Linked DNA regions of Oryctolagus cuniculus. Each later gene encodes a partner of the first gene's protein in a complex. Links are inferred from orthologs where the notes say so. Each region holds a gene or a part of one and is shown in the gene's direction. Other genes may lie near its edges. The genes, in order: PLK1, CDC25C, TCERG1, MIS18BP1, KNSTRN, MIS18A and SPAG5.

Region 1 (3,500 bases):
TGAGGGCAAAACGGTGTTTAAACAGGTGCAAGACCTCAAAGCCTGTGTCCTCAAGGCGCTGCAGTGGAGACGAGCAACTTTAGGTGTGCAAGGGCAAGTCTGGGGGAAAACAGCTTAATCTGGAGTTCCAAGAGGGAAGAAACGTGATCCTTCTCACTCGTCAGCTCCGTGAGGTCGATAAGGGGGAGCTTGGCGATGTTCTTAGTTGTGGAACCATGGCTTACTTGAGACCCGGAGCTGCCCTGTGGGCTGTGGTCCCGCTATGACAGCACTGCTGTCCCAGTCCACGGCCACGCCCGGCTCAGGGCTTTCTCTGTCTCTGCTCCAGCACATCAACCCTGTGGCTGCGTCCCTCATCCAGAAGATGCTGCAGACAGACCCCTCTGCCCGCCCGACCATTAACGAGCTGCTCAGTGACGAGTTCTTCACTTCCGGCTACATCCCTGCCCGGCTGCCCATCACTTGCCTCACCATTCCACCCAGGTTCTCAATCGCTCCCAGCAGCCTGGACCCCAGCAGCCGGAAGCCTCTCACCGTCCTTAATAAAGGTAAAGCAAGGGGAGGGTCAGACACAGAACCCCAGAGAGAACCGAGGCCCCTAATATCACTTCTTCATGCTTCATTGAAGGAGACAGGAACAGTTTCAAATACACACCCTGAGCAGGCTGTGGGAGCCTCCAGGTCCCCACCATCTGAGCAGTCACACCTGCCCTGCGGAGCCTTCCCTGTTTCTCTGATATATTCTTAAAGTTAACCTCAGACATCTTGCCATTGTACCCATAACTTCAGTATGCGGCTTCGATTTTCTTAGGAAAATCTAACGTCACGTGCCATTACCTAGGTTGTCATTTCCTCTGGGTCTCTTCTATAGGACAGAGTCAGGAAATACTTACTTTAAAGGGGGACATCTGGGTGTATGATAATGTTTGCGATTCCCTTTTTCGTAGCATTTTATTTTGCTATTATTTCAAGGTTAAAAAAAGGTGGAAGAACAAACAGGAAGCTCCTCTTCCGTCTACCCTGTTCCCTAGATCCACCAGTTGCCATTTTTTTTTTACATTTACTTTTATCTTCTTCCTCTACCTCCCACGTATACTGCACATGAGGGTACTTCAAAAAGTTAATGGGAAAAAAATGGAATTAGAAGTTTATTTTGGTGCGAAGTTGAACCTGTAGTTTTTCATAATACAGGTTTTTCCATTAACTTTTTGAAGACATCATTCATTTGCATTGCATGCACACAGAATTGTTTAAAAGTAAGTTGTGTATGTAAGTATTCCATTCTTACCCTTAATACTTCAGTGTGTATTTCCTAAAAACAAAGATTATTTTATATAACCACAGTGCATAACAGTTATCAAGCTCAAGAAATTTAACATGGATACAATATAGTTTTAGAGCAATCTTCTTTTTAAAATATAGACTTATTTATTTTATTTGAAAGAGTTACAGGAGGAGAGAGAGATCTTCCATCAGCTTGTTCACTCCCCAGATGGCTGCCATGGCCAGGGTTGGGCCAGGCCGAAGCCAGGAGCCAGGAGGTTCATCTGAGTCTCCCATGTGGGTACTGGGGCCTGAGGACTTAGGCCATCTTCCACTGCTTTCCCAGGTGCAATATCAGGGAGCTGGATCGGAAGTGGAGCAGCTGGGACTAGAACCAGCGCCCATATGGGATGTCGGCACTGCAGGCTGCAGCTTAACCCGCCACGCCACAGTGCTGGCTCCAAAGATATGTTGTTTTGTTTTTTTTTTTTAAAGTAGCTTGAAATACTTCCTCTAGGTGTATCTCAGTTTGATAGACAACTTAAGTTCATTTGTTTGTTAGTTTTCAATATTTAGGGATTACTTTCTAGAATTTTATTGTAGAATAACTTTAGGCTTATACAGAAATTCTAAAAGATAATAGCAATTGCAGAGAGAGTTCCCATATACCCTTCCCTTGGCTTCCCGCGCATCAGCGTGTTGTGTAACCACAGAGAAGGACTAAAACACAGGGCAGTATCTTTTCTTTTTCTTTTTTGAATTCTACTTTTCACTTTGTAAATTTTTTTTTAAGATTTATTTGTTTTACTTGAAAGTTAGAGTTATGCAGAGAGAGAGAAGGAGAGGCAGAGAGAGAGAGAGAGAGAGAGAGGTCTTCCATCTGCTGCTTCACTCTCCAGTTGGCCACAATGGCCGGAGCTGTACCGATGCAAAGCCAGGAGCTCCCCGCTTCCCGGGTCTCCCACGCGGGTGCAGGGGCCCAAGGGCTCAGGCCATCTTCCACCACCTTCCCAGGCTATAGCAGAGAGCTGGATAGGAGGTGGAGCAGGCGGCAGCTTCACTGCTCCCCCTCAGCGTCGGCCCCGGTAGTTTCACACTCCAGGCTGTCTTGGGCCCTCGTCAGGTTTTCCACTTCCGCTCTTTCTGTGGATTTGGAGTTCCTCGCGCTCACACTGAGGTTCTAGACTTTGGGGGAGTGCAGCAGAAGTGATGCGCCCTTCTCCGTGGACTCTGGTTTGTTTCGTGGGTTTTTTTTTTTTTTTTTGGACAGGCAGAGTTAGAGAGAAAGGTCTTCCTTCCATTGGTTCACCCCCCAAATGGCCACTACGGCCGGTGCGCTGCACCGATCCAAAGCCAGGAGCCAGGTGCTTCCTCCTGGTCTCCCATGCGGGTGCAGGGCCCAAGGACCTGGGCCATCCTCCACTGTACTCCCGGGCCACAGCAGAGAGCTGGACAGGAAGAGGAGCAACCAGGACAGAATCCAGCACCCCAGCCGGGACTAGAACCTGGGGTGCCAGCACCACAGGTGGAGGATTAGCCTAGTGAGCCGCGGCGCCGGCTCCATGTAGTCTATCAGGGGTACACATTGATTTTTTTTTTCTCTTGTTAGTGGTGGTGTTTATTAACTGTGATCACTTGGTTACCGTGGCATCTGATGGGTTTCTCTTATTTTTATCTGAGAGAGAGAAAGCTCTCATCCACTGGTTTGTTGCCCAAATGCCTGCAACAGCTGGGTCTGAGCTAAGGCTGGAGCCAGGAGCTCGGTCCAGGCCTCCCATGTCAGTGGCAGGGACCCAGTTACTTGAGCCATTGCCAGTGCCTCGGAGGGTCTGCATTAGCAGGAAGTGGTGAGTCAGGTGACACGCAGGTGTCCTAACCGATGTATGACTGCTAGGCTCAGTGTCCCGTGCCGAGTTTAGCGCCCACGGCGGGGCCTGCCTGCAGCAGTGCTCACTGTGTTCTCGTGCTCTTTCTTTTCCCTGCTCCTGCGTTTCACTAGTTGGCCCTCTAAGGAAGAGCTGGCCCTCTCCTTGTTTGCTTATTTATGTCAGTAATGAACTCAAGGATTGTTTATTTTGTTCTTTGGGCTATATTAATATAATACTGGGGTTTTTTAAGGATTACTTTTCAGTTTAATTTTGAACTTACAGCTTTTTTTAAAAACAAAAAACTTCATGGATGTTTTCAACTTTACCCAAAGGCAGAGAGAAGTGTGCCGTGACTCCCCACGTGTTCGT
Region 2 (4,289 bases), on another chromosome or scaffold:
TTCTATCACTTCTGCTCTTGGTTTCTCAACTCTGCCCTAAAACATAAACCAGAGAGGGAACCTAATTGCAGGCTTTTACCCCAGAGACCCCAGGCCTCAGGCTGCCCAGCCACGAGGCGCAGGGAGTGAAGCAAACTCTTTCAAGCTTTTCATGAGGCATTTGGACAAACAGCGAACTTGCAGCCCTCGCTAGGATCAAGTGAAGAGAGTGATTTTGTGTTTTTCTGCATTTTAATTGTTGGGATGTGGCCACACACAGCGGTAACTGGAACAATGCAACTACCAGCACGCAACTGATACTCTCGGCCTGAGTCTCCTAAAACAGGCCAGGCTGAGAGGGGGAACAGAACGGAAGCCATAAGGAATCAAACCAGGACACAAAAGAAGGCAAACCAGCTCCACGAGGGGCCTCCTCTTTCTCAAGCAGGCACTGAAAAAAGTGCAAGAAGCCCTCTCCTGCCTGCCGCCTTCCTTCCCCTTCCATTTTGTGTATCTGGGGGCTAGGGACAGTCCTGAACATTCACTGAACAAGTTAAAACTTCTCAGCTTAACAACTGGCACAGGGCTCAGCCCTGCGCCGAGCAGCAGGCCGCTGCGCCCTCCCTGCAACCGGGCCCAACTCTCAGACCAGGCTTTCCCTCCTCACCACCAGCTCCCCAAAAACAAAGATCAAATCCCCCAGCCCATGGCCTACTGGTTGGCAGAACCCCTGACACCCGAGCCTGAGGGATGCTGAGGCTGTGCTAAAACCTGGGCAGCCCAGGACCAGGTCAGGCCAGGGGGGAGGCGAGACTCAAATCCCCGGAGACCTTCGCCCAGGTCTCAGCCCACTCCTCTGGGGGAGACAGAAGGAAAACACGAGGGAGACAGGGAGGTGCACTAACAGGTAAGTGGGGGAACCTGACTGCTCTTCCTCCATATGGTGTGGTGGAGATAGGAGTGACAAGTGGGGAGCACCCCTCCCCCCACCGATGAAGAAGCAAAAGGCTTGCCCCCCCCCACCCCAATCTTCCACCTCTCCCTCTGTTGCCCTGCATGTCCCCGCGGGGTGGGGCTTGGGGCATCCGGGGCCCCTGGGGGGGGGCGCCAGGCCTCGCTCAGGGGGGTTGTCGCCCGCCTCTTCCCACTCCAGGCCCATCATCTGGCCGCGGGAGGCGAACTCAGAACGCAGGGGATGGGGAGGGTCTGGGACTTAGCACTCCGCCACCCCCTCCCCCACCGGGTCCCGTGCTCTCCCCGCGGAGGCGGCCTGCGAGGCCGGGCCGCGCGGGCGGCCGGGCTGGGGGAGGGGAAAGAGGGAAGGAGGGAGGGACGGTCGAGGTGCCCGCCCCGAGGCCCCAGCGCCACCTGCCCTCCGCCACCTACCGCGGCTCCTCCAGTTCCCAGGGCCGCGGCCGGAGCAGCTCTGAGCGCTCCGTTCGCCCCACGGTGCCCTTAAAAGGCGCCGGCGCGAACCAACTAGCCCCTAAGGAGCGTGGGGGGATGATTCCGGTTCGCGGAATCACTGGAACCACCCGCGGAGGCCCAGACCCAGCGTCGCTTGTCTCTTAAAGTCTTCCTCCGACAGCGCTGTCGGAAACGAGCCTGGCACTTTGATTCAGGGACAGGGGATGCTTCTTCAGTAACGAGTCACCCCCTCCAAAATATCGGTGAAAATGGATGGGCCCAGTTGGAGGCATATCTTCAAATCCGCGGGGGAGGCCATGTCGGACGAAGGTAAACAAAGCCATCATCCCTGCCCTCCATTCCCACAGCGGCTCAACTGCAGCCTCCCACTCGGTCCGGTCCGGTGATAGAATTAGCCACGGTGCCTCTCACCTGCTCTCTTGCCCCGCCCTCCACGGCTACTTCTCTGGAGGAATCCCCCTTCCCCCAGCAAAGGACCAGTCCTGGGCGCGAAGGCTGCTGGGAAGTGTAGTCCAAGCGCCGATTAGGGCCTGCTCCGAGTCCCAGGAGCCGCTCTTCCAGATACCGGATCGGCTCGAACCTTATAAATCCAGCCCTTAGAACGGTTGCGGGGACGTTCCCGCTTGGTTCTATAGTTTGCCCTTACCCAGCACACTTTGCAGAGCTAAGGAGGGCCCAGGGCCGTTCACTCCCTCCCCTCCCGCTATGCCCCCCTCAGCAGGATGAGGTAATGGGATTGTGATTATGACATCATAGGCGGTTCAGTGGCTTGCGGGGGAGGGGGGAGCGGGGGAGCACGGTGGTTACAGCTGGACCACTTTCCTTAAGACAGGGAGCGTGGAAACGGGCAGATGGGAGAAGATGTTGGCTGCGCTATGTTCCTCGAGGAAACCACCTTTTATTAAAGTCTCCATCATTATCACCACCCCAGCAAAGTTTTTTTTTTTTTTTTTTTTTTTTTAAGAAACTGAATGTATGCGTTAATAGGTTGGTTAGGTGGTTTCTGGCTGTTAGGTAGATTTCAGTCTCAACATCAAGGATGGCGCAGAGAGGGGCAGGTAGGTAGCTCCAGCTGGGACTCCCACACCCCGTACGGGAGGCCCACCCTGGGGCAGCAGCAGGTGATGGCTTAAGTTCTTCGGTTCCTGCCACCCATGCAGGAGACCCGGATGGAGTTTCTGGGTCCTGGCTTCAGCCTGGCCCAAACAACGGCAGTTGCTGCCATTTGGGGAGTGAACCATTGGATGAAGGGTATTTTTCTTTCTGTCACTCTGCCTTTCAAATCAAATAAAAGTAAATTAAAAAATTTAAAAAACGGTTTAGAAAGACAAGCAAAAAAATGGGAAAAAAAGGTTTGAAATAACACCTTTGGATTATGAGTTCTTTGTAGGGCAGTGTTTTACTTTTAGTGTTTTTTTTTTTTTTTTAATTTTTTAATTATTTGAGAGAGAAGAACAAGAGTGAGAGCAAGTATTCCCATCCCTGGTTTCCTTCCCAAATGACTACAATTGTTAGGGCTGAACCAAAAAGTCAAAAACCAGAACTCCACTCAGCTCTCCTACAAGAGTGGCAGGAACCCAGTTATGTGAGGCATCTCCAGTGCCTCCCATGGTCTGAATTAGCAGGAAGCTAGAGTCAGGAGCCAGAGGTGAGTACTGAACCCTGTACCTTGTATCTGAGGTGCACTCCTTAGCTACCAGGCCAAACACTGCTGTCTAGATTTCTGTTAACATTGATTGGAAATTAATAGTAATGCAGGTCATGTTCATTATTAACACTCGGCAGCAAGCTCCCCGAGAGACCTATGTTTTCCGTAAATATTTTCAGCCCTACTCAAACCTGGGACAGGTAAAAGCTTTGATCAGCAAGAAAGCAGAGCCAGTGATGGGGAATCTTGCTTGCTGAGCCAGGAAAGGAGACAAGCAGAAGCAACCGAATCTGCAAACTGAAAAGGAAGAGTAAAGGGAAAGCGAGGTATCAGCCGAGAAAGTGGCAGTGGACACATTTGCCTTGCAGTGTACATCCCCGTTAGCAAAGGAGAAGGGGCAGAGGCAGGGCCATGAAGTGTAGGGGAGGTGGTTTCTGTGACTGCACACATAGGATGTGCCAGATACCATGCAACGTACTTCAAACATGTATTCTCATTTTTGCGTGCAATCACCAAATGAAAAAAAAAAAAAACACAACTCCTTATTTCACAGATGAAAGAGCCGGAGAAGTTAACGGACTGCTCATGGGTAGGCAAAAGTAGTCTCAAGAAGCAGTCCAAGGCTCTGAAGCCCTGCCTTTCACCACTAGGCTGTTCCCCTTTTTATTATTAACCTTGCTTACTAAAGTTAAATGGTTGAGTAAAAGAAGTTAAGGTGGCATTGGCTCATTTGCAAAACACTGAAAGAAATTGTGATGCTTAAGAAAAGAAAATCCCTGCAAGTGACATCTCAGGCCTCTTTTCAAAGGAAGGCTACATCCTTCAAGTATAAAATAATTCACTGCCTCCCCCCCACCACAGCCTAACACTCAACACTCCTGCCCACAATTAAATGTCTTTCTGCCACCTTTTGTTCTCAACATTTTTTTTACTGATGTCCTACTATTTTTCTTCCTGCGCCCCCCCCCCCTTTATTCTTCACTTTTAGGCTACTACTTGGAATCCAATCTTTTTATTCTTTCCCCAATAAGCCTTTTATTGAAGAAATACAAACATCATGCATTTCAAAAGTGCAACTGTAGGATAGTGATTCTTCCCACCATACCCACACTGCCACCCTCCTCCTCTTCCCTCTCTCACTCCCAGTCCAATTCTCCACTAAGATCCATTTTCAGTTAACTTTATACACAGAAGACCAACTCTATACTAAGTAAAGGGTTCAACAATTTGCACA
Region 3 (4,027 bases), on another chromosome or scaffold:
CTCACTTCTTGTTTTGTTGTGTGTTTTTTTTAAACATTCTTAGAACTGTATCTTGAAGCTACATTTAATCTGTTAAAAACTGAAAAATAAAAAGGAAATGTAACTAAAAAAATTAAAAATTCATTAAAAATTTTTTTTATTTGAAGGGGAAAGAGGGAGAGACAGACAGAGACATCTTCCATTCTCTGGTTCACTCCCAAAATGGCCACAGGTCAAAGCCAGGCACTCAGAAATCCATCTGGGTCTCCCACGTGGTGGGGGGAGGGCATTGGACCATCATCCTCTGCTTTCCAGAAAACTGGATGGGAAATAGAACAGCCTGGACTTCAACAGGCACTCTAACATGGGATGCTGGCGCTGCAGGTGGCAGCTTAACCTGCTGTGTCACAACGCTGGTCCCATGGTGGTGGTGGTTTTATTTTTTTAATTGTATGGAAAGTACTGGTATACACTGTTAAGTCTGAGTAAAATTTATTAATGCTTTGAGCTCTTTATTAATAGGTTTGCTTTCATCTTGTCTTTGCAACTCCAGAGCCTCAGCCGTCTTTTCCCCTTTAATCGAAGAATAAAAGAAATATTTAGAGTTCTTTTTGGGTAGCAGGGTGTGCCAATTTCAGATAACTGCATTTTGAGATTGAAGGAGGACGCTAAGGCTGTGTACTGCTAAGAGGCTGGCTTCTCCAATTTACTTTTTCAATAAAGCAACTCAGAACACCCATCAGATGCAACTAATTAGTACAATTTTAGGAGGTCTTCTTGTAATCACCAGATATTATTTCATAAACTGGATACACAGCCGAGTGCTGACTTAAGACTCCAATAAGTCAAATAGCGAAAACTCCTTCCGCCTCAACTCTATGATTGGTTTAGGCGCGATCCAGGTCTTTTTTGATTGGCTCACCCCGTGGAAATGCTTTCGGCCTGAGCTACTAGTGGCCAATATGGCTCCACAATTGGGTCTCCTGGAAGCCGGCAGACACGTGGCTACTTCACGCTGGGCGAAACGTGGGAGGACCTAGTTTCGCTTACCGCGAGAGGGCGCCGGTGGTTCCTCTTTGCTAAAGTCTCATTTCCCATAAAGCCTCCGAGCGACCAATCCTCTGGCTGTCTCCATACCGCTTTCAAAGTCGGCGGGTCCTTTGTCCAATAGTAAAGCAGATACCGCCTCCACCTGGAGGATGGATAGAAAGCTTCACCAATCATCTCATAGACTTCCGCTATCTCCGCCTCTCTCGCACGGGATTGACGATCCTTCCGGCCAATAGGTGGCGTCGGGTCGGCGGGTGGATGAACGCGGCCCTCTGTAATGGCGGAGCGTGGCGGGGACGGGGGGGACGGTGAGCGATTCAACCCGGGGGAGCTGAGGTAAGGGGCGCTGCCCTCTCGCACATCTCGGCGCGCTGGACTCCCAGTGGCTAGGCCTGCTCGTGGAGATCCGGAGCGGACGGTGGGCAGCAAGGACGGGGCGGGTTGGGGCCAGAACCGCATGGGGTTAGAGAAGGGGGAAGGGAAGGTGGCTTGAATGAGAGCCGGGCCGGGGCCGTGCCGCGCGGCCTTCTGCGCGGTCTCGGGGTGCTCCCTGCGGCTTCCGCGGGGCCCAGTTGTCCGTCGCGGCCTGCAGGCCGGGCCGGGCGCTCCCGGCTTGGAGCCCCACCTCAGCCGCGTGCCGCCTGGGCCTCTGCCGCCCTCCGCCTGCCTTCCCGGCTCGGCTCGGCCGCGGCCCGCTTCTCCCCATCGACGTCCCTAGGCGGTGCGGTTAACTCCCAGGGGCCTCTCCCGTCTCTGGCTCAGCCTTCTCCACGCCCTCCGGGCCGTCCACGTTTGCTGTTTGATCTCGTCCCCCACCCCCACCCACTTGCCTTTCTTAACTTCCTGTGGCTTGTCTCCCTCGGTCTCTCTCTATCCCTCCGTATCCCGGAGCTGTGAATAACAAAAGCGGCAGCGGGGGGTGAGGCGCTTACTTGGGGCTGTCTCTCCTCTCCTGCCCGAGCCCACCCGCTGCAGGAATTGGTGCTCCGGCTCTGTAGGCCCCAGCGCCGAGGGCCCTTCGGCCAAGTTGCTCGCGCGGCTTACGGATGAGGAAACCGAGCCTCGTAGGGGTTTGAGTGCGGGGTTAAGACCGCTTGGGTGGAGCAGGTTAAGCCGCGGCAGGCAGGCTATGGACGTGCAATTTCGGGTAATTCTGTTCTTCTCCTCCACCCCCCCCCCCCCCCACCCGTGCTCTAAAAAAGGAGCGCAGTGACCTTCCTTCCTCGGGAATTCAGTGCCTGCGGAGTTTGTCGTTAGAGTTTGATAAGAAAAATGTGACCAGGATAAAAAACAAGCAACAAGCCGGTTTTTGAGGGGATGGGAAAGAGGTCCTGTGCTTGATGTATATCTAGTGTACTTTCTCCCCACCCCCCCACCCCCGCCCCGATGGGAGAAATGTCATTTCAGATGTTCAGCTGACATTCTGAATTGTGCCGTTGTCAGCGTTTAAAATTGAAAAACGCAGTGGAGATGATGACGAGTCTAATACTGTCCAGAGCTTATTGTTAGAGTTTTAGGAGAAGATAATGTCTTTCAGATTCTGCAATGTTAGGCACAGAAATTTCTACTTTGGCAGTACTTATTTCAGAGGTAGTTCTTAAGCCCATCAGCCCCATATGCACAGTGGTTAATGAGTGAACAAAGTGGGTAGTGGGTATCTTCCAGTGTTAATGGTGGAGCTTGTTCTTGATGCTGATCTCAGAAGATTACTGCTTGGCTAGTCTCAGATGGATTGATTAGGTAACATTGTTTTATGTTTCATGGAGTGTTTTCAGCTGTACAGTCATAGCCTTTTAGACTATTTGTAAACTAGATATTGCAAAACTGATTTAGGTAGGGCATTAGATTAGGTGTGCTGTTGCAGGTAGTTTAGCCTCTTGGGTTGGAAGTTGCAGAGCGTGTGGATAGACCTTTGTTTTAGCATTTATCATGATTTATGAGAAATTAGCTGTTCATGTGTTCTGTGCTGGCAGAAGTTTGGACTCAGTCTTTATAAAAATCTATCCTGGATGTATTTCGTGGCTGTGTCTATCACAGTGGCAGACAGAATAATCTATAGATAAATAAATGAAGACAGGAGACTTAGAGGTGGTACCCTTGCTGGCCTGTGTTCATGAGGCAGTTACAGACCTGGATGCTGGCAGTAGATCCTGAACCAAATCATGAGAGGCCTTTGCTCTCCCCTTTGTTTCCATTCTAATTGAGACTGATCCAGATTCTGAACTAAACCAACCACATGAAATGAAAAACCCAATGTGCAAGTTTGAAATGACTTATCCAAAGTCGATGGGTAGTGGCCAGGGTTTAGACTGAAACTTAGGTCTCCTTACTCAATTATTGTAATTTGCCTCCCATGTACATCTTGCCCCTCCAGTTAAAGTGTTTGCAGTCTAGTTTTCACCATTGAGATTGCCTATCTATATAGAGCACTCCTAGAAAAATGTTTGTATTTCCATGGTGTTCTTGTGAATTTTTGTTTGTTTGTTTCTAGTCTCATAGATAGTCTTTTGCTTCCCAAAAAGGTTTTAAAGCAGCAGGAAGTACAATAGATGGAAATTCAGAGATCCAAATGCCATCTGTCCCTTTATGGTTGAGGGCCATTAAAGTAACTTTCAAAGTCATGTTTATCTAACACATACAAGTTCCCATCCAGTGGTTCACAACTTGATTCATGTCTCCACTACTTGAGCCATTATCACTGCCTCCCAAGGTGTACACTAATAGGAAGCTGGAATGGGGAGCAGAACCTGGAACTGAACCTGGACCCAGGCACTCGGATTTGGAATGCGATGTTCCAGCTGCCAGCTTCATTGGTCCAGCAGAGGCCCACCCAGTAGAGTCATATTTACATGGATCCTTAGGGTATGTGTTTTCCTATTAATACTTAGGACGTGAAGTACTTGCAGTCTAGATTTTCTTGCCTGTAGAAATGAGAGTAAGAATACCCTGCTGTTAACTATTGACCAACTGTCTTAAGCAAATTGTTTTTCTGTGCTAT
Region 4 (3,500 bases), on another chromosome or scaffold:
TACTAAAATAGAGAATGAGATAAAAGGATGAGAAAGTAATAAAGGTAAAAATTTTTATTACTCTCATGTTGCAAAAGCACATTATAGTGGTCTGATCATTACTATATCTAAGTATCTTTATTTCATGATATTCAAATGATAGTTTTGGGAACAGCATCATGGCATAGTGGGTTAAGCTGCCACCTGCAACACTGGTACCCCACGTGGGCACCACCAGTTCAAGTCCCAGCTGCTGTACTTCTGACCCAGCTCCCTGCTAGTCTGCCTGGGAAAGCGGCAGATGGCCTTCCAGGCCTTCAGGAGACCTGGAAGAAGCTTCTGGTTCCTAGTTTCTACCTGGCCTAGCTGTAGCTGTTGAGGCCATTTGGGGAGTGAACCAGTGGATGGAAGATTGATCTCTCTCTCTCTCTCTTTTTCTTTCTGCCTCTGTAACTCTGCCTTTCAAATAAATAATAAATCTTCAAAAGAAAAAGACTATATCTGCTAAAAAAGAATAAATAAAATGACAGGTTTTTCTTCTCTGTGCCTAATTCAATTTTTGAAAAAATCTCAACCTCTAGAGTCATCAGAATTCCCTCTGGTAAAGCAAAAGATTCAACACCAGGAGGTAAAGAAAGCAGTGCAGCACAATTTAACTTACGGTAAACTTTTGATTTTGTTTTGCTTTTAAGTTTGTTACTTGAATGTGTTGTTAGATGTTCTAGGTAATTATATTCCCTGGGTAGATATTAAGCATTGACTGTGGACAAAAGCTTCGACTGTAAAGTTTAGAGGCACTCAGAGAAAGACTGGGCAGGAGGGTGAAGTGTTATCTGAAGATTTTTTTTTATATTGAACAGGTTTTTTTTTTAAGATTTTTATTTATTTATTTGAGAAGTAGAGTTACAGGCAGTGAGAGGGAGAGACAGAAAGGTCTTCCTTCCATTGGTTCACTCCCCAGATGGCCACAATGGCTGGAGCTGCGCCAGTCTGAAGCCAGGAGTTAGGTGCTTCTTTCTGGTCTCCCATGCGGGTGCAGGGGCCCAAGCACTTGGGCCATCCCCTACTGCTTTCCCTGGCTATAGCAGAGAGCTGGAGTGGAAGAGGGGCAGCTGGGACTAGAACCAGTGCCCCATATGGGATGCCAGCACCTCAGGTGGAAGATTAACTTACTGCGCCACGGCACTGCCCCAATATATTGAACAGTTTTAATTGACTCCTTTTTTGTTCTTTTATTGCATATGGTCGTTCTATAAATTTTGTTTTGTTTTGCATGTTTTGCAGAATTTCCAGTTCTGAACCAAGAACAAGAAAATATTTCAACTACAAAAGTCTCAAACCAGGCATTATTCAGAGCTCAGTTGACTGAACAAATTCTTCACCCCAGGGAGAATACGATTGCAACCACTCAATCCAAAAAGGACACTTTTGTTATAGAGAACAGTGAGTCAGCCTGTGAAAAATTCCAAAATACTAATACTGAGACTCTTAGTACAAATTGTGTTCCTACTAAGAATGGCAGTCAATTAATGGTTACTGATAGTGAGATGACAACAGAAGGAACTTCACAAGAAGAAATTAAGGACAAAAATGAAAAAACAGTGCCCAGAGAGATTGATCTTATAGATTCCATGAAAGATACATGTAAAATTATATTGGCAAGTCCAAGACTTCATGTAACAATACCTCGAAGGTCAAAAAGAAATGTTTCCAAGCTTTCTCCTCCAAATGTGTTTGAAGCAGTTACGGATGAAGTTAAAAAAACTCAGGTGGGAAAACTTTTAATGTAGATATTTTTCTCCATGTTATTGAAGAGCTTAAGCTCTTATATTCTGACATTGTTGATGGTAACTTCATGTTTTGTTCTTTACTGTACCAGCATTGTGGCCCAGTGAAAATAACTGGGCTAGAAGTAAGAAGATCCAGGTGTTAAAATTTTTTTTGTTGTATTAGGAACTGTGGAGTTTCTAACAATTATGTCTTGTGTGGCATGAACATTGAATTCATTCCTGATTTTTATTGTTTTTCTTTTTGCCCTGATCCTTGGGGCACTTACTATTTTTTTTTAAGATTTATTTATTTATTTGAAAGGCACAATATCAGAGGGAGAGATAGATATCTTCCATCTGCTGGTTTACTCTCCATATGACCTGCAGCAGCCAGGGCTTGACTGGGGCCCAAGCCAGGAGCTGGGAACTCCGTTCTGCCCCCCACTCACCATTTGAGTAACAGGGGCCTATGCACTTGGGCCATCATCTGTTGTCTTCCTAGGTACCTTAATAGGAAGCAGCATCAGAAGCAGAGTAGCTGAGACTTGAACTGGCGTTCCACTATAGGGTTTTATCATCACAAGCAGCAGCTTAACCTATTGCACCGCAACACTGGTCCTTGGGGTACTTGGTATTAATAGAACAATTGAAATAGAAACAAATTATATCATCTGAAGATTTGAAAATTTTCCAAGTGTAAAGTAATACAGGATGCTCAGTAAGATTTTAGAGCTTAGTTACATTAGGATAAATTCTCTGAAGAAGTAGAATGGAAATATAAATAAGCTAATAAGTTCAAAGAGAAAGGTAAAATTTCCAATTATTACAAGTTTGTCCATTGATTTTTAAATGAATAATGATGGATAGCATTGAGATTTCATCTAAATTTGAAATAGTGATATAACAACTATAGTTTTGTGTCAATATATTTGCTAGAAATTATAATGTTTGCAAATACATAAACTTGTGATGAAAAATTTTAGACATTGACTTAAAAATGGTTGAACAAGGCCGGAGCCGCGGCTCACTAGGCTAATCCTCCGCCTTGCGGCGCCGGCACACCAGGTTCTAGTCCCGGTCGGGGCGCCGGATTCTGTCCCCGTTGCCCCTCTTCCAGGCCAGCTCTCTGCTGTGGCCAGGGAGTGCAGTGGAGGATGGCCCAAGTGCTTGGGCCCTGCACCCCATGGGAGACCAGGATAAGTACCTGGCTCCTGCCATCGGATCAGCGCAGTGCGCCGGCCGCAGCACGCCAGCCGCGGCACACCGGCCGCGGCGGCCATTGGAGGGTGAACCAACTGCAAAGGAAGACCTTTCTCTCTGTCTCTCTCTCATTGTCCACTCTGCCTGTCCAAAAAAAAAAAAAAAAAAAAAGGTTGAACAAGAAAGTTTGAGGACAGCTACTCTAAGGGACACCACAGTAGTTGCTATAAGAATTCTAAGCTTCTCAAGCAGGACTGTTATCCCTATGTACTCATAGTTCTATAAAGCCCCTAATTCTGACTCATTCTCTTACTCATCTGCAATTCTCCAGATATTGCATTGGTACTTTCTTGAGCTATGTAAATGTTATGACTGCTATTACCTGTCTTCTCTCAACATTTCTTAACTTTGCTCTAACTAAAATATGACTTCCACAAACAGCTGATTAAAGAGGTGGCTCTTTTTCTTCCATACCCAACATTCTGTTTGACCTGGAGATGATATAAGGTATGTTTGTCTTGCTCCTCATTGCTCCATGGGCCATTCTTTTTT
Region 5 (3,500 bases), on another chromosome or scaffold:
TTTGTCACTGACCTGTGTTCCTGAACAGTGAAACATGATATTACATGCCTGAGGAATAGTTTCTTTTGATAAATAATTGACAAATATGGAGGGGGAAGGGAGACTGAGAATTTCAAAAAGAAGTTTTGAATATTGATGATGGTAATGGCTACTTATGAAATATTCATTGTGGACCAGTAGGCAGGTTCTGGATCATTCATGTTATCTCCCTTATTTTTTAAAGATTTATTTATTTGATAGTCAGAGTTACACAGAAGGAGAAGCAGAGAGAGAAAGAGAGGTCTTCCATCCGCTGGTTCACTCCCCAAATGACCACAACGGCAGGAGCTGGGCCGATCCGAAGCCAGGAGCTTCTTCCAGGTCTCCCACATGGGTGCAGGGGCCCAAGGACTTGGGCCGTCTTCCACTGCTTTCCCAGGCCATAGCAGAGAGCTGGATTGGAAGTGGAGCAGCCCAGACTCAAAAACATCACCCATATGGGATGCCGGCACTGCAGGTGGCAGTTTTACCCACTATGCCACAGCGCCAGTCCCTCTTATAATAATATGAACTGCGAATATTATCCTATTTTAGAAATGGGGAAACAGAGCCTTAGGGAGGTTGGGCAGCTCACTGTAGATCATCCACTATGATGTGGGGAACCCTGTTTGTGTAACTCCATAGCGTACATTCAGTCCCCCTCCATGTAAATACACCTGTTGCAGTTATAAACCACTGGGTAAGCAGAAATCAGAGGAAGAGCTCAAAGACAAGAACCAGCTCTTAGAGGCCGTCAACAAGCAGTTGCACCAGAAGTTGACAGAAACTCAGGTGAGAAGCCCACCACACCTCTGTCACTAGCTGCCACTGGGCACTGCGTGTGCGGTCTTGAGGGATGGCGCTCTGGGGAGGAGCAGGCTTGCAGTGCCTGACTGCCTGACCGCACAGAGAGAAGCAGCCAGGCTCGTGCTGGCGCTGTCCAGGAGCAAGGGGGAGGAAGGCTGTCTACTCGTGGAGTCTGGGAGGGTTCCCGACTGACTGTGCGCCACCACCACAGGGAGAGCTGAAGGACCTGACCCAGAAGGTAGAGCTTCTAGAGAAGTTTCAGGACAACTGTTTGGCAATTTTGGAGAGCAAGGGCCTTAACCCAGGTAAGAGAACACACACAGCTGCCTTCAAAGAGAACAGCACAGGTCCACCTTCCTGAGCTGACTAGCAGTGTGGCATCAGCTGGTCCAGGCAGGGCAAAGGTTGCATGACAAAGCACTAAAGTGCTTTGAGAGCTTCTGTTTGTTTCCATACAGTGTTCATTTGGCCTGCCCGACAGAATTTCAAATGACTGAAGACAGAAACATCTTTCTTTCTCTTCTTTCTTTTCTTTATTTGAAAGGCAGAGTTACGGGGGTTGGCGGGGGGGGGGGGGGGGGCGGGTTGGAGAGTCAGAGAGATAAGGTCTTCCATCTGCCAGTTCATTCCCCAAATGGCCACAATGGCTAGAGCTGACCATGAAGAAGCCAGGAGTTTCTTCCAGGTCTCCCACGTGGGTGCAGGGGCCCAAGGACTTGGGTCTTCTTCTACTACTGTCTCAGGCACATCATCAAGAAGCTGGATTGGAAGTGGACCAGCCAGGATTGAACCTGCACCCATATGGAATAGGTGCTGTGCCAAGTGCTGGCCCCTATCTCTTTCTTATCTAAACTCTTTATGCCATTCATTTGGTGCCAACAGGTTTAAAGTTGCAAACAGACCAGAAATATTTTGCTCCTTTCATGGGAGATAACAGCATGCTGGTGACTCCTTGATGGCAAGAGGTAAAGGAGAATACTTTTGCAAGGGGTCCTGAACCTAGCTAGTCACAGAATCCAGCAGATTCTGTGGTTGACATGGGACTCAAGTTCTGACCCTGTCCCTGGACAGCAGAGTTTAGCAAAGAAGAGACCGGAAAAAGGAGTTGCCCAAAGAGTGCAAGAGGAGCCACAGAATGGCCAGAAAAGGGCTGAGGCCTCGTGGAATTGAAGAATGCCAAGTCTGAGGCGAATGTTGAGCCCAACAGTTAAGATGCCTGCTGTAGGCCGGCGCCGCGGCTCACTAGGCTAATCCTCCGCCTAGCGGCGCCGGCACACCGGGTTCTAGTCCCGGTCGGGGAGCCGGATTCTGTCCCGGTTGCCCCTCTTCCAGGCCAGCCCTCTGCTGTGGCCAGGGAGTGCAGTGGAGGATGGCCCAGGTGCTTGGGCCCTGCACCCCATGGGAGACCAGGAAAAGCACCTGGATCCTGGCTCCTGCCATCGGATCAGCGCGGTGCGCCGGCCGCAGCGCGCCGGCCGCGGCGGCCATTGGAGGGTGAACCAACGGCAAAAGGAAGACCTTTCTCTCTGTCTCTCTCTCTCTCACTGTCCACTCTGCCTGTCAAAAAAAAAAAAAAAAAAAAAAAAAAAAAAAAAAAAAGAAAAAAAAGATGCCTGCTGTGGCCCAGGCTTCTGACTCCAGCTTCCTGCTAATGCAGACCCTGGGAAACAACAGTGATGGCTCATGTAGTTGGGTTCCTGTCACCTCATGGGAGACATGGAATGATTAGACCAATGATGGGAGCTCTGTCTGTCTCACTCTTTCTGCTTCTCAAATAAATGTATTTTTTTAATTTATAATAAAAAATGCTGACTGTGATTAACCTGTGGGTTACAGGTTTAGGATATTCTTTGCAGTAACTGTAAACATTTTGATGATTTAAGTTAACTGTGTGCACACACTGTTAACGAAAAACAACAATTTTTTAAGGCTTGAAAGGCTTTTAAAAACAGTTTTGTAGGGTAAGGGTTTAGCCCAGCAGTTAAGACACCTGTATCCCACATCGGAATGCCCAGGTTTGCTTAAGTAATTGGGTTCTTGCCAGTCACATGGGAGACCTGGATTGCTCCGGCCCAGCCCAGCCCATCTCTAGCCATCGCGGGCATTTCTGGAGCTCTGTCTGTGTGTTTCTCTGTCTCATTGCAAATAAATAGATCATAATATTTTTTAAAGGTAGTTTTTATACTGTAAACAAAAAACTACATTTTCTTTGTACAGATTTTCAGCTGGGATAAGGAGAGTAGAGTGATTTTTTTGGCATACTGAAATCTAGAGACACGGGGGAAGTGCAGCAGCTGTGAATGGCGTGGGTGACCCTACCAGGGTGAGAACGCGGGAGAGAACGTCTAGGACTGGACACTTAATTTCCCTCATGAATAAAAGCCCTTCTGTCCCTGGTGGGGCCTCTGCTTTCTTTTGTTTAAAGTAAGTGTGCTAAATGAGGCTGACTGTCATACCCATTGGTTTTAGGCGGTGAGACCCTGGTGCCACAGCAGACCCCCGCCACGGATCACACAGACTCTATGGTGAGGGTTGGGTGTGAATGGGTCAGGCCGAGGGATTCTGGGCCTCTGGGAGTCTCAAAGTCTCCCCCATGTGCACAGCAATCCTCAGAAGTAATCTTTGATTGTCCCCGATAGGAGAGAACGACCAGACATGTACTCAATATAGCATAT
Region 6 (3,500 bases), on another chromosome or scaffold:
ACACATCCGAGACTTTTTAAAAACCCCTTAACGAGGGAGCTGGAAGCTGGTTCAGGGTCGGCAGATCGAGTTATGGCCCCTCAGCCTTTGGGGCTTGCTTTGCTACTCACAGGGATGGTTTGTGTCCCTGCCAGACTAAACTCACTTACGGTGCATTGGTGGGCTTTCTTCAGGCTGTCATTTAACTTTAGAGGCTTTTTCTAAACTGGGCTGTGTTAGCTTTCTGCCAATGCGGGGGCAGGCAGAGGCCCTGGGCTGGATGCCTCTCTGTGAACCCAGGTGATTGAGTTCTGCAGTGTCTGTAAGCTGTTTTCGTGCCGTGACGGCAGAGGCCAGTAGTAAGGATTAGTTATTCTCTGCGTCATTACACAGGAGTTGCCTCTCCCTGCCGTTGTTGGGCTCCTTGGACAATGGCATTAAAAGGACGCATAGAATCTTTTTGTCTTATTTCCCAATTTTCTTTATAATCAAAGAGTTTACATTCTTTATTTTTCTTAAGATTTATTTATTGAAAGATAGCATTACGGAAAGAGGGAGAGAGAGCTTCCATACGCTGGTTCACTCCCCAATGGCCACAGCAGCCACGGCTAATTCAGGCTGAAGCCAGGACCTGGAACTCCATCCGGGTCTCCCATGTGAGTAGCAGGAGCCCAAGCATTTGGACCATTTTCTGCCACTTTCACAAGCATGTTAGCAGGGAGCTGGATTGGAAGTGGAGCAGCTGGGACTTGAACCTGCCTCATATGGGATGCTGACATCTCAAGCGACAGCTTAACCTGCTGGGGCACAGCCCTGGCCGCAGAGTTTGCGCCGTAACACATGCACTTGATGGTCTCCTCCTCTTGTTGCCGTGTGCATGTTCCTGCCGTCAGATGTGGATGGCAGTGTGGCTGTCCTTGCATTTCTATTATAAATGTCTTACTCTCATCTTTTTCCTTCCTTATATGAATACATGTAACTAAACATGGTCAGAATGACAAACCCTGGAAACCTGAGTGTTGAAGCGTTTGTGGGTGCCAGCAGTGGGTGTTCTGTAGCAAGTTGCTGCTTTGCTTCCTAAAGCGGTGCTATGTCTTTACGCAGCGTCCTCGAGACCCTGTACTGCGTCGGCTGCTCCCTCAACCTCGGCTACATATACAGATGCACCCCCAAGAGCCTTGATTACAAGAGGGACTTGTTTTGCCTCAGTGTTGAAGCCATTGAAAGGTAAGTTTGATATTTAAGTGACCGCTGGGTAACTGACCTCTCAGAAAGTTAAGTTTGCAGAGAAATTGCTATGAAGACGTCAGAGCTAAACCACGCTTAAACGACATTTCCAGGTAGTACTTTCTGACATTAAAGCCAGTTAATTTCTCTCTCTGTCTCTCTGTTTTTCTCTTTGCTTTGCTCTAATTTTTTGATATTGGAAAAATCAGCACTCCTAAATTGTGGCTTTTTTTTGGAGTAAAAATATGTTCTTTTTTGTTTGTTTGTTTTTTGACAGAGTGGACAGTGAGAGAGAGACAGAGAGAAAGGTCTTCCTTTGCCGTTGGTTCACCCTCCAATGGCCGCCGCGGCCGGCGCACCGCGCTGATCCGATGGCAGGAGCCAGGTGCTTCTCCTGGTCTCCCATGGGGTGCAGGGCCCAAGTACTTGGGCCATCCTCCACTGCACTCCCTGGCCACAGCAGAGAGCTGGCCTGGAAGAGGAGCAACCGGGACAGAATCCGGCGCCCCGACCGGGACTAGAACCCGGTTTTGTGCCGGCGCTGCAAGGCGGAGGATTAGCCTAGTGAGCCGCGGCGCTGGCCTGTGTTCATTTGTTTTTAAAAATGGAATGAACTTGAGAAGGATTCTTTTTAAGTATTTTCTGGGGCTATGTCTCAGTGGTTAAGTTGCTGCTTGGGATGTCCCCAACCCATAGGACAGGGCCTGCTTTAATTCTGATGCAGCTTCTTGCTGATGTAAACCCGGGAGGCAGTAGATGCTGGCTCAGGTACTTGGGTGGGTCCCTATTACCCATGTGGGAGACACAGACTGACTTCCAAGCTCCTGGCTTCGGCCTGGGCCAGCCCTGTGTGTTGCAGGCATTTGGGGAGTGAACAGTGGATGGAAGGTTCCTGTCTTTCTCTGCCTTTCAAATAAAATGAGAGTAATTTTTCTAAAAAGCGATATTGTGTTACAGAAGAAAATACGTGGGAGGTTTTACTGCAGGAGATCATGGTTGTCAAGGCTGTTTTTCCTGAACAGTTGATTTTAGGAGACAGGCTACTTCTTGGGCAGAATTTTTTTTAAAAAAATAAGTTTGTGTGTGTGTGTATTTTTTAGATTTATTTATTTGAAAGGCAAAGCCACAGAGAGAAGCAAAGCTACAGAGGGAGAGAGTGAGGAGAGAGAGATATTCCATCTGCTGGTTCTCTGCCCGAATGGCTGCAAGGGCCAGGGCAGGACAAGGCCAAAGCCAGGAGCCAGGAGCCCCATCTGGGTCTCCCACATGGATGCAGGAGCCTAAGGACTTGGCCATCTTCTGCTGCTTTTCCAGGTGCATTAGAGAGAGCTGGATCGCAAGTGGAACGTTAGGGACTAGCACCAGCACCCAAGTGGGATGCTGGATTTGTAGGTGGTAGCTTAACCGGTTATGCCACAGCACTGGCCCCTTGGGGTGGAATTGTAATGCCAGGGCTGCCCTCTGTGCCATTTATTTACAGTTTTATCAGTTGCTCGGTGCCATGTCATTTTCCCACCGCATCTTTGGTTTTCTAAGTAGGATGTCGGTTGCCTTCTGCAGTTTGCCTACCACGCTATTTTCCTCTGCCTTGCCAGGCATATTGGCAGAAAGCTGGAGCAGAGACAGAGCTGCGGGGACTCCCGCCAGCACTCCGCTGTGGGATGCCGGGAGCTGGCGCCACAGCCCTGGCCCCTCGAGTTTTCTTTGAGAGATGCTGGCATCTCCGTCCTTACTGTTTAGATGTAGCTGGTTGCCAGCCCAGAGCTGGTTTCCCTCCATTGCCAGCTGATTCTTCTGCTACTTCCTACTTTCCTAAACCATCGCATCTTGTAACAATGAGAGGCAAACACAGTGTAAGTTGGAGAATAACTGTTACAGTTGCTGACATTTGGTTAATCAAGTATTGACCACCACAATTTATTACTTAAAGTCTCATTTAGGAGCAGGTGTTTATCCTACTGGTTAAGGCAGCTGTGTTCCACATTGAAGTCCCTGGGTTTATTTTATTTTATTATTATATTTTACTTTAAGATTTATTTTATTTATTTGAAAGTCAGAGAGAGAGAGAGAGAGAGGTAGAGCCAGAGCCAGAGAGAGAGAGAGGTCTTCCATCTACTGGTTTCCTCCCCAAATGACCACAGTGGAGCTGAGCTGATCAGGATCCAGGAGCCTCCTCAGGGTCTCCCATGTGGGTGCAGGGACTTGGGCCATCTTCTACTGCATTCCCAGGCCATAGCAAAGAGCTGGATTGGAAGTAGAGCAGCCAGGACTCGAACTGGTGCCCATATGGGATG
Region 7 (3,500 bases), on another chromosome or scaffold:
GTAGAGCAACCAGGACACAAACTGACACCTAAATGGGATGCTGGCATCGCAAATACTGGCTTTAATCACTATGCTGCAACACCTGCCCCTATTTTTAAATCATCGTAATCATTGGGGGTGGCTGCTGTATTATTGGTTAAGAATCACTGCTCTGAGCCGGCGCCGTGGCTCAATAGGCTAATCCTCCACCTTGCGGCGCCGGCACACCGGGTTCGAGTCCCGGTTGGGGCGCCGGATTCTGTCCCGGTTGCCCCTCTTCCAGGCCAGCTCTCTGCTATGGCCAGGGAGTGCAGTGGAGGATGGCCCAGGTGCTTGGGCCCTGCACCCCATGGGAGACCAGGAAAAGCACCTGGCTCCTGGCTCCTGCCAGGATCAGCGCGGTGCGCCGGCTGCAGCGGCAGCCATTGGAGGGTGAACCAACGGCAAAAAGGAAGACCTTTCTCTCTCTGTCTCTCTCTCTCACTGTCCACTCTGCCTGTCAAAAAAAAAAAAAAAAAAAAAAAAGAATCACTGCTCTGGGACCAGTGTTGGCATAGCAGGTAAAGCTGCTGCCTGCAATGCTCGCATCCCATGTGGGCACTGGTTTGAGACCCAGATGCTCCACTTCCCATCCAGGCCCTTGCTGATGTACCTGGGAAAGCAATGGAAGATGGTCCAAATGTTTGGATCCCTGCACTTACATGGGTGATTTGGAAGAAACACCTGTCTTGGCTTCAGCCTAGCCCAGCCCTGGCCTTTGTGGCCATTTGGGGAGTGAACCAGCAGATGAAAGATTCTCTTTCTCTCTCTCTCTCTCTTTCTCTGTGTAACTCTTTGAAATCAAATAAATAAATATTTTTTTAAAAAATCACTGCTCTAGGTATTGAAATTATTAATGATTTCTCTTTCCGTTTTTATTCATGTTTATATTTTCCAAAATGTTGCAATAAACACGTACTAGTTTTTTACGTATGTAAGAAGAAATTTTTTTTTTTACCTGTGTCTTGATTTGTCTTTCTGACTTGACTTCATCTAGCCATGAAACTCATACCTCCTTTTAACAGGAAAGGCTCCTGTAACTCACTGGGTTGGGAGGGGACTGAGGTTCCTGTGGTATATGCTGCTATCTCAAAAGGAACAACTGTGTTTCTCTACTAGATAACTAGGGAACCTCAATATCTTCAAGAGAGCCAAGAGATTGGACAGGCCTTGCAGCAGGCCAGGAATGTCATGGTAAGTGTTGATTGACCTTGTAGCATTTCTGGGTCTCCCATAAAGATAAAAAATGGAGATCTGGAGCATGGACTATGGCATAGCTGGTTAAGCTGCTTCTTGGGATGCCAGTGTCCTGTATTAGAGTGCCTGGGATTGAACACCATCTCTGCTTCCCATCCAGCTTCCTGCTAATGCCCTTGAAAAGCAGGAAGTAATGGCCCAGGTACTTGGGTTCCTGCCATCCATGGGAGACCTAGATGGAGTTCTGGGCTTCTGAGTTCCTGGCTTTGGCCTAGCCTAGCCCCAGGTTTTGCAGGCATTTGGGGACTGAACCAGTAGATGGAAGATCTGTCTCTCTGCACTCTGTGCCCCCAACCCTGTCACTTTGCCTTTCAAATAAATAAAACTTAAAAAAAAAAAAAAAAAAATGGAGAATATGGGATGGGCATTTGGCCTAGCAGTTAAGATGCATGGTCAAGATATCCATGTCCCATGTTAGAATGCCTGGGTTTGGTACCTGCCTGTGGATCCTAACTGTAATTTCCTGCTATTACAGACCCTGGGAAGCAGTGGTGTAGCTTGAGTAATTAGATTCCTGCCGTTGACATGGGAGATCTGGATAGCATCCCTGGTTCCTGGCCCTAGCCCCAACCCCAGCCCAATTCTGGCCATTGTAGGCATTTGGGGAGTGAACCAGTGGATTGGAGCGCTCTATTGATCTATCTGCCTGCCTCTCAAATAAATAAAAATTAAAAGAAAAAAAGGGTGGGGAATCCTGGTTGGTTAATAGATGGTGATACACAGCTGTGGGGGTGAAGAGAGGCTTCCAAACCTTGGTGAATGATGTCTCCTTATTGGAAACTTGGAATTGGGGCCAGTGCCTTTCCTCCCCCGTTTGCCCTGCTTCCTTCTTAGTGACTGTGCTTGCTGTAGCCTAACCATTTTCCCCTCTACAGCAATCATGGATGCTAGTTTCTAAAGAGCTGACATCCCTGCTTCACCTGTCCCTGCTGCACTTAGAGGAAGATAAACTCACTGTGAGTCAGGAGGTAAGCAGCATGGAGGTAGAGGCGTTGGTGGGATTGAAAGCCAAGAAAAGGAGCCAGACAAAGCACCTGATTCTTACTTTGTAGTCTCGACATGCAGAAACACTGGTCTCCTGCTGTTTTGATATGTTGAAGAAACTGAAGGCAAAGCTCCAGAGCCTCAGTGCAGAAAAAGAAGAGGCAAGGCACAGAGAGGAAATGGCCCTCAGAGGCAAGGATGCGGTAAGGTGCCAGGTGCCTGTCCCCGGACTGGGAGGGCTCTGCCTCACATTTCTGTAGGAATGCGCTGGAGACACAGACGAGTGGCCTACAAAGTGCCTGCCCTGGGGAATAGACTGAACTAATGGGGTGCTGGATGGCCATGGCTTTTTGTGCTGTTTCCCTCTGCTGCCCATTATGTCCTTTCAACCTCTTTCCTAAAACAGGCAGAAGCAGTGCTGGAGGCTTTCTGTGCACATTCCAGCCAACGCATCAGCCAGCTAGAACAGAACTTGACCTCCATGAAGGAATTCAGAGACCTCCTGAAGCAGACCCAGACCCAACTGGTAACTGAAAGGCATTTTCTTTCCTGGGGTTCCTGCTGGTGCACTTGTATGTTGCTGCCCCTTCGTACGCAAGCCTTCCCTTGTAGGTAGAGCTTCAGAAAGAGCAGGAAGGGCTGATCCAGCAAACAGTGAGTCTGACTTCTACCTTGCAACAGGACTGGCTATCCATGCAACTGGATGTGAGTATTTGGGGCTATCATAACCACTCACTCATAAGGCAGCCCTGTTAGGAGCCTTGCTTCAAGTGTGTTCAACTGACTTGCCTGCTTCCTCTGGTAGTACACGACATGGACAGCTTTGCTGAGTCGGTCTCAACAGCTCACAGAGAAACTCACAGCCAAGAGCCGGCAGGCTCTCCAGGAGCGTGATACTGCAATTAAGGATAAGCAGCAGGTACAAACCAGGAGTGGAGACTTCTTAGGACTGCCTTCCTCCTTTGCCGAAGGCCTTTCTGTTGTGTGACATCATTAGCCTCTTACTCTGTACCTGTCTGCTTCTTCACCCTGGGAGTTTGGAGACCAGCCAACTCCTTTAGCTGTGAGATGATGGCCTTGAGCCTAGTTGTTTGCTTTGCTCTTCAGCACCTTCCTCGCTTCAGCAGTTTTTCTCCTGTCTACGTCTTCCTAAGGATGAGCCTTATTTTCTGTAGTGTTGCTGTCTGGGATCAAGATAACTTCCCGTCTTGTCCAGAAAGAGAAGCTGGTCTAGATCCTGG

The links.
Region 2: the proteins of PLK1 (region 1) and CDC25C are in contact, whole or in part, in a crystal structure (PDB 3BZI), measured with the Homo sapiens proteins. The link is inferred for Oryctolagus cuniculus from reciprocal best matches to the Homo sapiens genes PLK1 and CDC25C. Residues at the interface, in NP_005021.2 of Homo sapiens: Lys413, Trp414, Val415, Asp416, Tyr417, Tyr485, Glu488, His489, Leu490, Leu491, Arg516, Phe534, His538, Lys540; in NP_001274511.1 of Homo sapiens: Leu126, Leu127, Cys128, Ser129, Thr130, Pro131, Asn132.
Region 3: the proteins of PLK1 (region 1) and TCERG1 are in contact, whole or in part, in a crystal structure (PDB 3Q1I), measured with the Homo sapiens proteins. The link is inferred for Oryctolagus cuniculus from reciprocal best matches to the Homo sapiens genes PLK1 and TCERG1. Residues at the interface, in NP_005021.2 of Homo sapiens: Lys413, Trp414, Val415, Asp416, Tyr485, His489, Leu490, Leu491, Arg516, Phe534, Phe535, His538, Lys540; in NP_006697.2 of Homo sapiens: Pro101, Pro102, Pro103, Met104, Ser105, Ser106, Met107.
Region 4: the proteins of PLK1 (region 1) and MIS18BP1 are in contact, whole or in part, in a crystal structure (PDB 8S31), measured with the Homo sapiens proteins. The link is inferred for Oryctolagus cuniculus from reciprocal best matches to the Homo sapiens genes PLK1 and MIS18BP1. Residues at the interface, in NP_005021.2 of Homo sapiens: Lys413, Trp414, Val415, Asp416, Tyr417, Asp419, Tyr485, Ser487, Glu488, His489, Leu490, Leu491, Arg516, Phe534, His538, Lys540; in NP_060823.3 of Homo sapiens: Asn73, Ile74, Phe75, Gln76, Ser77, Thr78, Met79, Leu80.
Region 5: PLK1 (region 1) and KNSTRN share a complex: the UniProt entries of both Homo sapiens proteins name them as parts of the astrin (SPAG5)-kinastrin (SKAP) complex. The link is inferred for Oryctolagus cuniculus from reciprocal best matches to the Homo sapiens genes PLK1 and KNSTRN.
Region 6: the proteins of PLK1 (region 1) and MIS18A are in contact, whole or in part, in a crystal structure (PDB 8S30), measured with the Homo sapiens proteins. The link is inferred for Oryctolagus cuniculus from reciprocal best matches to the Homo sapiens genes PLK1 and MIS18A. Residues at the interface, in NP_005021.2 of Homo sapiens: Lys413, Trp414, Val415, Asp416, Asp419, Leu490, Leu491, Arg516, Asn533, Phe534, Phe535, His538, Lys540; in NP_061817.1 of Homo sapiens: Ser50, Met51, Trp52, Ser53, Ser54, Met55.
Region 7: PLK1 (region 1) and SPAG5 share a complex: the UniProt entries of both Homo sapiens proteins name them as parts of the astrin (SPAG5)-kinastrin (SKAP) complex. The link is inferred for Oryctolagus cuniculus from reciprocal best matches to the Homo sapiens genes PLK1 and SPAG5.

Annotation. Positions count from the first base shown.
Region 1 is NC_091450.1:15,668,720-15,672,219, reverse strand, and holds part of PLK1 (serine/threonine-protein kinase PLK1), read left to right. Parts: intron 1-328; coding exon 329-548; intron 549-3,500. UniProt on the Homo sapiens protein: Serine/threonine-protein kinase that performs several important functions throughout M phase of the cell cycle, including the regulation of centrosome maturation and spindle assembly, the removal of cohesins from chromosome arms, the inactivation of anaphase-promoting complex/cyclosome (APC/C) inhibitors, and the regulation of mitotic exit and cytokinesis.
Region 2 is NC_091437.1:26,133,040-26,137,328, reverse strand, and holds the start of CDC25C (M-phase inducer phosphatase 3), read left to right. Parts: upstream 1-1,489; 5' UTR 1,490-1,716; intron 1,717-4,289. UniProt on the Homo sapiens protein: Functions as a dosage-dependent inducer in mitotic control. Tyrosine protein phosphatase required for progression of the cell cycle. When phosphorylated, highly effective in activating G2 cells into prophase.
Region 3 is NC_091437.1:33,947,069-33,951,095, forward strand, and holds the start of TCERG1 (transcription elongation regulator 1), read left to right. Parts: upstream 1-1,227; 5' UTR 1,228-1,306; coding exon 1,307-1,365; intron 1,366-1,961; exon of another isoform or gene 1,962-2,094; intron 2,095-3,739; exon of another isoform or gene 3,740-3,891; intron 3,892-4,027. UniProt on the Homo sapiens protein: Transcription factor that binds RNA polymerase II and inhibits the elongation of transcripts from target promoters. Regulates transcription elongation in a TATA box-dependent manner.
Region 4 is NC_091443.1:30,696,404-30,699,903, forward strand, and holds part of MIS18BP1 (mis18-binding protein 1), read left to right. Parts: intron 1-560; coding exon 561-641; intron 642-1,263; coding exon 1,264-1,748; intron 1,749-3,500. UniProt on the Homo sapiens protein: Required for recruitment of CENPA to centromeres and normal chromosome segregation during mitosis.
Region 5 is NC_091443.1:63,572,886-63,576,385, forward strand, and holds part of KNSTRN (small kinetochore-associated protein), read left to right. Parts: intron 1-704; coding exon 705-810; intron 811-1,036; coding exon 1,037-1,130; intron 1,131-1,707; coding exon of another isoform or gene 1,708-1,781; exon of another isoform or gene 1,782-1,843; intron 1,844-3,042; exon of another isoform or gene 3,043-3,148; intron 3,149-3,294; coding exon 3,295-3,350; intron 3,351-3,500. UniProt on the Homo sapiens protein: Essential component of the mitotic spindle required for faithful chromosome segregation and progression into anaphase.
Region 6 is NC_091435.1:12,609,061-12,612,560, forward strand, and holds part of MIS18A (protein Mis18-alpha), read left to right. Parts: intron 1-1,083; coding exon 1,084-1,206; intron 1,207-3,500. UniProt on the Homo sapiens protein: Required for recruitment of CENPA to centromeres and normal chromosome segregation during mitosis.
Region 7 is NC_091448.1:44,093,542-44,097,041, reverse strand, and holds part of SPAG5 (sperm-associated antigen 5), read left to right. Parts: intron 1-1,137; coding exon 1,138-1,212; intron 1,213-2,150; coding exon 2,151-2,243; intron 2,244-2,327; coding exon 2,328-2,462; intron 2,463-2,665; coding exon 2,666-2,785; intron 2,786-2,871; coding exon 2,872-2,964; intron 2,965-3,064; coding exon 3,065-3,178; intron 3,179-3,500. UniProt on the Homo sapiens protein: Essential component of the mitotic spindle required for normal chromosome segregation and progression into anaphase. Required for chromosome alignment, normal timing of sister chromatid segregation, and maintenance of spindle pole architecture.